2 linked regions of the Tribolium castaneum genome follow. The protein of the gene in region 2 purifies or fractionates together with the protein of the main gene of each other region. This does not show direct contact. Links are inferred from orthologs where the notes say so. Each region holds a gene or a part of one and is shown on either strand. Other genes may lie near its edges.

Region 1 (5,082 bases), on a different chromosome or scaffold from region 2:
AAAGCCGGGGCTTTTGCCCGATTGTTTTCCTCGACATTGGTCGGTGTTGATGTAAATGTCGGGGAGGAAGTTGAGGAGGACGCCTTTAGCTTTGTCAACTATTCGGTTAGCAATGGCAGGAGAGACGCGTAATGCGAATGCTGTGCCTCTGATGCGTTTTACCATTCCACTGTCGAGGGAATGGATTGGTCTGAGGTGCTTACGGACGGGGCATTTGAAAATTACTTCACCGCCACCCAATGGAAGCAAGCCTATTTATGAGTAAAAATATTATCGGTTTATTAGCTTTCTGCGCAAAGTTAACAAAAAAATACATAAAAAACAGTCCATACAGTTATATCTTTTAACCAGAGCCTCCTTGATGAATGGAGAACCTCGTATAACTTAAAAAAATAATGTATGTATAAAACAAAACAAAAGAAATGCATAAAAAACAGTCCGTAAAGTTATATATTGTAACCAGAGCCTCCTTGATGAATGGAGAACCTCTTATAACTCGAAAAAAATAATGTATTTAAAATAATTCACGATGATAAAAAATAATAATTTAATAAAAAAAAAATTATGACTTTAATTAGTAAATACATTTCAATTTAATGCTTTAATTTATTTCCAAATTTATATTGCAATGCAAAGAAAAACAATTTTCAAAATACGAGTATAATTTTCAATTTATTGTTTAGAATTAATTCAATTCTATAGAATTCCTGTAGAATCAATTATTCCTATAAAAAGATCCTTTTGCTTTTAAAATTAAAATTCTGAAATTAAACAATAATGTAATAGAAAACTGGGAAAATTTTGACTAATTGAATATTTAATTTCATAATAATTGTCAAATAAATAGATCGTTTTAGTACAACTTTGAGAAAACAATGCTCTTATTTTTGCTTATTATATGCCACTATTTGTCAAACAGAAGATAATTTTGACCTAAATCCTTGCATTTAGTTTTTTAGGTGTAACCTAAACTGTGGTTTGATAGTAATTCATTTTTAAGTCAAATGAACCATTAATTTTTATTAGGTATTCAAGTAGCAAATTTTACAATAAATCTTTGCAAAAGTATGTATTTAATTTTTTATACACGGGTTGTTTATCCACACTAAAAATTCTAATGAACCTAATAATTCAAACTTGTAAATCCTAAATACGTAGATAGTTTGCAGCATTATGATACAAAAATCACCACTGAACAAAACTCAGTTTTTTTAAACCGCCTGTTAAGTAAAAACATAATTTCCTTGCGTTCGCAAATTATTTTTGAAAACTTTAAAATACCTAAAATATTTACTCATGAACTAATTTTTTTTGTTATTTTAATTTTAGAAAACTTAATTCAAAATAAAAAAACAGAAGGAATTTTATCATCTAAAAACTTGAAAAGTATAATAAGTAACTATTATTAAATTTGGTTAATCACATTTAGCCTTCACAAGGTGGAATTTAAAAAAAAATATGAAAGCTTAAAATGGGAGCTTTTAAACCGAGGTTTAAAAACATTTATTACTCGCATTATAAAAATTTGTTGTTATGTAAAAAAGAGAATTAATTTTTTACTACATGGTAAAACGTGGAATTCCTTGTTTATCTAATTAATAACAAAAAGTAAGCGAATTTTATAACTCTTTTTTTTTAAAAAAAGATAATGTGAATTTAGACACTGTTTTAGCATGAAAATATCTCAATTTTTCATAATTTTTTGTATAAAAGTTTGTTTTTCTTGAAATGTTTAGTTTTGCTATCAACTACACATTCATAGCGTTTGTTGAAAAATCATATATGTATAACTGAAAACTTTTCTAAAAAATCATTTTCTTATTTCGTGTGAAGAACAAAATTTGTACCGTCTGGGCAAATGCCAAACTTTTTACATATTTATACACAGAAAACTTTTGACCAAATAATTTTTTTGGAAAAATTGACTTTTAACAACTAGATATCGCATTTTTCTTAAGAAATTAATTAAAGAAAGAAGCACGTGACACTCATTTTGGCGTTGCCTTCAAAAAGAAAGATTTGAAACAAATCATTGGACGCTAAATCTTTTTTTTTAGTTTTTTGTCAACTTTTTTACCAAATATAAATAACTTAAATAACACTCATATTTTTTGCTTTTTTTGTCAAAAAAAAAAATTTAATTTTGCAGAAGTTATGTTGAGATAATTATACCTACGTAATAAATGAATAATTTTTCTTTTTTTTCACAAAATTGTTAATATAAATTAAGGAAAAAATTACATAGCAACAAATATTTTTAAATGTTATATGTATAAAACATATGGTACTGTAGGTTTAGACTCTAGCTCTCATTAAAAAAACAAAAGCGGAAAAATCGTATTGAGTTCGGAGATTATAATTATATATGGTTACAACTCCATATTCATGATAAAAAATATAACTTTATTGCCTTGTACAGTTATATCAAATGAATATGAACGAGAAAATGTATCGTCTAGAAGGCTGAGAAGAAATGTTACATAGCCTCCTAGACGATAATTTTTTTGACCACATGGTACAAATAAAAATAACTATCCCTACCTCTCTTGGAAATCTTCACATCAAGTCCCTCATCATCCAAGAAAAACTTTTTCAACGTACTTAACGCAGACGTCCTTATTAAATCAACGGAGGGATCAATATTATTATTTGTGACGCCTTGTAGAGTAGCATTTAAGGGTTGCTTACAAAATAAACCAAGCATAACCAAAGCTTCCAAGTAATAACCTACCCAACAACATTATTAATTAATAACCTAAGTTCAAAATTGAGGATAAACTTCTTACCAACCCCTCTCTGAGTTGAACACTCATGTTGTACCGTACCTCCGTACAGTAACCCAGGTTGGAAATACACCGCTGTCCCTGTTTCATTTAATTCAATAACAGAACCGTTTGTAATTTTATCCAGAAGACGAATTAAATTCACTTCAAATTCTCTTAAACCTGGCTCATCCTCCAACACTCGAATGTGGGTTATGCGGACCGGTTTACCGCTCAAAATCGATAAAACCAACCTCTGGCGAAAAAAATTGCTGCCCTTGTAACACAAAACACTTCCCTTATCAGTGGCAGTGGTCATTTTTGGAAATTGAATTCAAAATTTTTGAAGGTTATGCTGTCACACACGTGCAAGATTTTTGAACTACTAGCTACAGCTCACACAGAGGTGGTTTCACACGAATGAATTATCGAAACACATTTGGGTTCCTAAATATTTTTCTACGTGTTCTTAGTAGTCGTGAACGATTTAACAATTGCTTACTGTATTTATTTTATATCTCAAATGGGAACATTTCGCGATATCTCTTAAACAATCAGAGGCCCTAATTCGTGTGAATGGGTCTTTAGTAGTGCATAAAGTGTGCAAAATAGTTCTAATAACCACTGAGTAGTAGTACAAAGGTCACTTGGTAGTAGGTTTAATGGTTTTGCTTATTTATTTGCTGTGTTTTTAATTTTTGCAAGTTTCGTATCATAATTTGGGAAAAATCGTTATATTTTATAAGGTTTATAAGGTATGTATCGCTATATTGTATTGTACAAAGCGTGTAAACTAAAAACCTGTCTCAATTATTATTTATCATTTATAATGTTTTGTTAAACTTGAAACTGTATTTTTACACGTTTTGTTATCGTAAAGTTTGTATTCTGCACCATCATACTCCTTATCTATCTGTTTTGACTAATTATTTAACATTGTTTATGCAAAAAAACAGACTTGGGCATAATTCTTAATTATGTTGTCTTTAATTGCCAAAAGGGCCACCAATACCATCTTGCCACAATTCAATAACTGTAAGTGTATATCTGGGCACAAATATTATTGTTAAGTATTTAAATCTAGGTTCAGGAGGCACTAATTTTGTAAAAAGCATCGCCAAAATGTCTCATCAGGCTTCTTATGAAACCTTATCTGTAACAGTGCCTTCAGAATTTGTTTACCATGTGGAACTTAATCGTCCCGATCAACTAAACGCTATGAACAAAACCATGTGGTTGTAAGTATACAACTTCAATAATAATTATCATTAATTACCAAGTTTTTTTTGTAATAAAGGGACATTGGACAATGTTTTGAGAATCTAAACACTGACGAAAACTGTCGAGTGATTGTTTTATCAGGAGCAGGAAAAATATTCACAGCTGGTAACATTATTTAAACCCGATTAAGCGAAGTTTTTTTGTTTACATAAAAATACGTAGGTTTGGATTTTCAAGATATGTTGACGCTGGCGCCACAGTTAGCAGAACAAGAAGACGTGGCACGCAAATCTAAAATTCTTTACCAGTTGATTACCACCTATCAGAAATCAATCTCAGCACTAGAATTATGTAAAAAACCTATCTTAGCTGCTATCCATTTGGCTTGTGTGGGAGGTGGTGTTGATTTAATTGCCGCAGCAGACATGCGGTACTGCACTAAAGATTCGTGGTTCCAAGTTAAAGAAGTAGGTTTAAAAAAAACTTTGTATTTATGCAAAAAAAACTATATTTTTACTGTCTCTCAAAAACTAATAATCGTACAGAATTCAGCGTTTGCTTTTAAGTGCTTTATATTTTTCTCTATGCATGCGAATTTTTTCAGATTTTTTTTACAATGTACAGTTGCTGATTAGCTGATTTTTTATGACTAATGACAATCTCAAACATGTCGCTTATTTTTTTATAAAATGTTTTGTACAAAAAGTACGTAGGAAATTGTCGCAAATTCATTGCAAAGTAAATTACACCTAGTTACTAATTAAACCAATTTGAATTAAATTGGTGTTTACTTGGTAAATGTTAATTTAATCACGATATTAATACTAATATACAACGAATAAACTTCTTTAGGAACAACATTCAAGTATCTTTTATTGTTTCAGCATGTTATTAGAAGTAGTTAAAACAATATTTTTTCAGCGTCACAATTACTTAGTTTTGATTGTAGGGAATTGTATAAGAATATTGAAAAAAATCACACGCATTGAGAAAAAAATTAAGTATTTGATTATAAGTTTTTAAAATGTTTCAGTAAAAATATATTTCTGGCAGACTAACCCTGTATAATTATTATGTATTTTTAAAAATTTCAAAGGTC
Region 2 (5,105 bases):
ACCTTGGGGCGTAATGGGGCCCCAAAAATGCGCATTGCACGCCAAGTGCTCAGGCGTGTACTTCAGGTAACGAAACTTTAAATCGTCCTCGAGTTTGGAATAAATGGGGAGGGTTTGAAAGCGCCGCCAGCCGAGCGAAACAATGAGGGGATCCCCCGTTTTGAGAATCTTGCTATACCAGCGATGCTTCTTTATTTTCACGTTGACGTACCCGATATTTTCCTCCCCCATGTTGAGAGCGCCGACGATCAGAGGGTAAGTCGGGTTGAAGTTCGTCACGAATTCAGCCGGAACGTCCCGAATCTCGATTCGGACGTACATCCCCGGCCGGAAACCCTCGATCTGCACTCGGACATCATCGGCCATGTTCTCAAAGACGGTTTTATTCAGCTGTGCTTGCTTTTCCGCGCTTTGTTTCAAATCATCATAATAGGAGCTCTTCTCCGTGTTGTCATATTCTTCATCGAATTTCTCCTTCAATTTGCGCTTCTTCTCGGCCAAGGCTTGCCTGTCGGCCTCTTCGTCTTTCTCCACTTCGTCGCGTTTCCGCTTCGTGTGTTTTTCACCCGTTTCCAGATCTTCAAAATCACCGAACATTTCTGAATCATCCATATCGCTTAAATCTTCGGCATCGTCTAATTTTAAAAGCTCCGAAGCGTCTTCCGAACTCTTCCATTTGCCGGTAACGAAACAATTGACAATTGTTGTTTTGTTTTCTTCGGTCAGGTAGTCTCTGACAGGGGCATTCCAGGGCTGTATTAAGGAAGATTCAGGAAGGTTCATTGTGTCCTTGTCAAGTTTGAGCTTTTGCTGGGCGCGAGAAACCTTCTTGAAGAGACCACCGATCGTTTCTTCTTCGTCTTCTTCCGGTTCAGTTTGTGTTTCTTCGTCTTCGTTTCTGTTATTCTTTTCGAAAACGCCATAAACTAGCTTCATGAGGTTCTGATTGGTGCTCTGGCGATCCAAGAAGGCACTGTGTGCTTTTTCCGCCAGATTATCTTTCCATTTTACGTCGTCGTTATCTTCAGAGTCTTCATCTAAATCTTCAGATTCTGACGCATCTTCATCATGATTTTCGTCTTCTTGTTCTTCAAATTCATCCGAAGACTCTTCAACAAGTGTAGCTTCCTTCTTCTCGTCCAGTTTCTTCAAAATATTGCTAATTTTCGAATGGACATCATCTTTGTTTTCTGTTTCATTCTTCTTTCTCACAAGCACTTCATCTTCATTTTCTTCTGTCGCAAAATCATTCAAATCCTCATCATCTGTATTTTCTTCATCCGAATCTTCATCATCAGTATTTTCTTCTTTAAAATTCGTCATTTTGCGTTCATTGTCACAATCTGTTTTCTTCATTCTCTTTTTATCCTTATTTTCTTCATTCTTAATTTTTTGTTCTGAATCATCCGAGTCCTCACCATCTGAGTCTTCAATCCTATTGGCTAATTGCTCATCTCCTGTCTCAAAAACGACCCTCCTCCTGACCCTCCCATCATCCTCCACCCTTTCTTCCTGAAACCGTTCATACGCCCCCCTCAATTTCTTCAATTCACCCTCCAAATCTTCCTCCTCCTTTTCTTCTTCTTTCTTCTCGTAAAGTTTCGTTTCCGTTTCTTGCTCCTCCTCCTCCTCCTCGTCACTACCAGCCCCAAATTCCTCCCCCGTTATCTCCTTCCCTCCCGTGAAAATCTGTATTTTCGAATGCGCCATTTTCACATCTAGCGTCTTCTGCGTATCGATCAAGTTGGTAACAATGTCAGTCTCATCCTCGTTTTTCTTACTATGACTGTGTGAGCCCCCCAACTCGACATAAACCGCGTCTTTGTCATAGACAATCCCCCCCACTCCCGAAAAAGGGGCGTAAATCAGCTTCTCCTTTTCGACCAATGCCCGCTTCTTGATTTGTTCAGGGAGTGGGCAAGGGTCGGGCAAAAACGAAACGTCGTGGATTTTAACATCACCCAACCCGGCAATGTGAATGGAGGCGTGGTTTTTAATCGCCACGCCTCTGACATACCCATAAAGCGAGATGTTACGATCGCACTTCGGGTTTTGCCGGACCAGTTCCTGATTGGTTAAATCCTCGTAGCGATCGGCTAACAAATAGCCGTGAGTGGTGCGCCACGTCAGAGGGCGGAACTTCATCACGGAGATGAAACGCCCCAAATTGCGAATTTCATTACGCAAATATTCGTCGTGTACCAGTCCGGAGAGGTAGAAAAGTTTAGCGCCGGGGTACACTTCGGTCCAGAACCGGTGTTTTAGGACTTTTTTCGTGTTTTTGAGAGTTTTCGCGTTTTTGATCATGTCTAGATGGGTCAAGATGCCCATGATTTTGGGCATTCCATGGACTTGGCAAATGTTTAAAAACTCGAACACTTCCATTTCGAAGCCGAAACTCGCGTCACACAGTAACAGCACCAAATCGGCCACTTTCGCCAGGTCGATCATGCTGTTGATATCGTTGTTGCACTCGATGAAAGTGATTCGGCGTTTTTTGCCGGTGACTATCGTAACGGGGCCCTTGATTTCGACAAGGGGCGATTTTGTAAACAACTTGATCAAGTTGTTGATTAGGGTGCTCTTGCCCACTTTCGGGGGGCCCACCACCGCGATTAAAATCGGAGGGGGCTCCAAGGGGGTGCGATCGACAAGAGGAACATGCTGTTTTTTCGTGTCTATGTCCTGTTTCCGGCGGAATTTACGCTCGGCACGCACGGCCGAATTGAAGGCAAAGGCTTTGGGATTGCGCTGCTTATCAGGCACGTCTTCCAAACGGTTCGCATTCTTTTTGCCCTTCTTCTTCTCAGCCTTGCGACCTGAACCAGTTTTACAATATTGAAACGTAACTACATTATTAATACCTGAATGCCGGTCCCGGTGCGATTTTTTCTCATTTGAGTCATCGTTCGCTTGGTTTTTTACCATTTTTTGCCAAGTAAACACCAAAATCGCAACACATGTATTTTTGAGGTTAGCTCACGTTTTGCGAGTTGACATTGGTTTAGAGCTACCAACTTGACAAAATCAATTTTTGCGTAATTAAGGCTCTTCTTCGTATTTTACGAATTAAAGGGGCCAATTTAATGATTTGTAGTGACTCGGAGTGATTTTTTGTACCAACTGATGTGTTTTTGGGCCGTTTCGTCGTGAAAAATGGTCAAGTTTTCGCAAGTGGTGTTGGTAGTGTTTCGCGAAACGTCAGGCTGACGTGTTGGTGGTGTCAGTATGTAAACAGTGAAAATCGTGAATTTTGAAAAAACGGGCAAAAATGTCGCTTCCGGGCAACGGTATTTTCGTCGTAAGGGGTGAAATGTGCACGTTAATGACGGCGATGCGCCGTGGCGCCCGCTGGTCGTCCCACTCTCACCAAGACGACGACGAACCTCTTATGAAAAACTTCCAAGAACTGAAGGAAATCCTGAACAAAATCGACGACTTGCGTCTGGTGCAACCAAGCATCTACTTGGGGCCGTTCCTGGAGGTGATCCGATCGGAGGAAACCACTGGTCCGGTCACAAGTCTCGCGTTGTCCGCCGTTAACAAATTCCTAGCGTATGGATTGATCGGTGAGTGCTCGCCAGCCCCCACTCGTCCTGATCGCCCCCTTGCAGACCCCACGCACAGCTCGGTGCCCGCCACCGTGCACAGCATCGCCGACGCGGTCACGCACGCCCGCTTCGTGGGCACCGACCAGAGCTCCGACGGGGTGGTTTTAATGCGGATTTTGCAAGTCTTGCGGACTCTTACACTGGCCCCCGAGGGGGCCACGCTCACCAACGAGAGTCTCTGCGAGATCATGCTGTCGTGCTTCAGGATTTGTTTCGAGACACGTTTGAACGGTGAGCCCCTTCAATTATTTGCCCCCATGTGACTTAAATTTTAGAATTGTTGAGACGCACCGCCGAACACTATCTCAAAGACATGGTCCAGCTTGTCTTTATGCGCCTCCCTCAGTTTTCCGATGACCTGTGTGCCGTCAAACAATTCAAGATGAGGCCGGGGGCTATTGAACAGACCCGGACGAAGCGGAAAAAGTCGTTCCGACTGTCGAAAAGTTTGGAGGAGACGCCGTCTCCCACGACCCAGCTGAAGCCCCAAAATCACAGTAACCACCTTTCGACCACCCCCATGACCCCCGCGGGGAATATCGTGGACATGCAGGGGTCAATTTCGCAAAATACCCCCGAAAATGCGGCAGAATCGCCCTCGAATTTTTCCGAAACTGGGGAAAGTAACGTGCAAATAAGTGTGGATCCGCCAAGTCCGGAGGAAAATCACGAGGAGGAAGCGACGCCTGAAGTTGAAGAGACTCAGGATTATGTCAACCAGAGGGGGATCAGGTTCACGCAACAGATGGGCGAGGAGGTTGTGTTGATTCCTTACGGCCTAGCATGTGTGCGTGAATTGTTTAGGTTTTTGATCAGCCTGTGTAACCCGTTAGATAAGCAAAACACCGATGTTATGATTCATTTGGGGCTCACGTTGCTCACTGTGGCCTTTGAAGTGGGGGCTGACAGTATCGGCAAATATTCACCGCTTCTGGCTCTAGTCAAGGATGATTTGTGTCGGAACTTATTCTCTGTAAGTCCCCCAAATAATTAGTTTGGTTCTATTTTTGAATTTTTTCCAGCTGTTGACGTCGGAACGCTTGTCGGTCTTCGCGGCCGATTTACAAGTCTGTTTTTTAATGTTCGAGGCGTTGCGGACGCACCTCAAGTACCAGCTAGAGTTCTACTTGACCAAACTAATTGATATCATTGTGACCGATTCGGGGAAAATCTCCTACGAACATAAGGAAATCGCCCTTGATAATATCCTTCAACTGTGGCGAATTCCGGGTCTTGTGACTGAGCTCTACCTAAATTATGACTGTAATATGTATTGTACAAATCTCTACGAGGATTTGACTAAACTGTTGGCGAAAAACGCATTTTCGGCCACGTCTGGCGTTTATCACACGCATATGTTATCACTGGACGCGCTATTAACGGTTATAGAGAGCATAGAACAACATTGTTTCGAGAAAAGTGAGTCGGAAGAAGGGGTTAAAGTCGAGTCAAGCACCGAAAATATCGAATCCATCACGAATTTTATTGGTAAGA

What was found.
Region 1: the proteins of ribosome biogenesis protein BMS1 homolog (region 2) and Rtc1 purify together in Homo sapiens (co-immunoprecipitation; 4 studies listed by BioGRID and IntAct, with this or other methods). This does not show direct contact. The link is inferred for Tribolium castaneum from reciprocal best matches to the Homo sapiens genes BMS1 and RCL1.

Annotation. Positions count from the first base shown.
Region 1 is NC_087394.1:7,340,771-7,345,852, reverse strand, and holds the start of Rtc1 (probable RNA 3'-terminal phosphate cyclase-like protein), read right to left. Parts: upstream 3,167-5,082; 5' UTR 3,082-3,166; coding exon 2,787-3,081; intron 2,728-2,786; coding exon 2,542-2,727; intron 252-2,541; coding exon 1-251. Other genes in the region: delta(3,5)-Delta(2,4)-dienoyl-CoA isomerase, mitochondrial, read left to right, coding at 3,740-3,797, 3,847-4,000, 4,060-4,148, 4,206-4,450, 5,080-5,082. UniProt on the Homo sapiens protein: As part of the small subunit (SSU) processome, it plays a role in 40S-ribosomal-subunit biogenesis in the early pre-rRNA processing steps at sites A0, A1 and A2 that are required for proper maturation of the 18S RNA.
Region 2 is NC_087399.1:7,282,309-7,287,413, forward strand, and holds the start of ribosome biogenesis protein BMS1 homolog, read right to left. Parts: upstream 3,125-5,105; 5' UTR 2,929-3,124; coding exon 2,865-2,928; intron 2,820-2,864; coding exon 1-2,819. Other genes in the region: garz (Golgi-specific brefeldin A-resistance guanine nucleotide exchange factor 1), read left to right, coding at 3,272-3,569, 3,615-3,842, 3,887-4,584, 4,634-5,105. UniProt on the Homo sapiens protein: GTPase required for the synthesis of 40S ribosomal subunits and for processing of pre-ribosomal RNA (pre-rRNA) at sites A0, A1, and A2.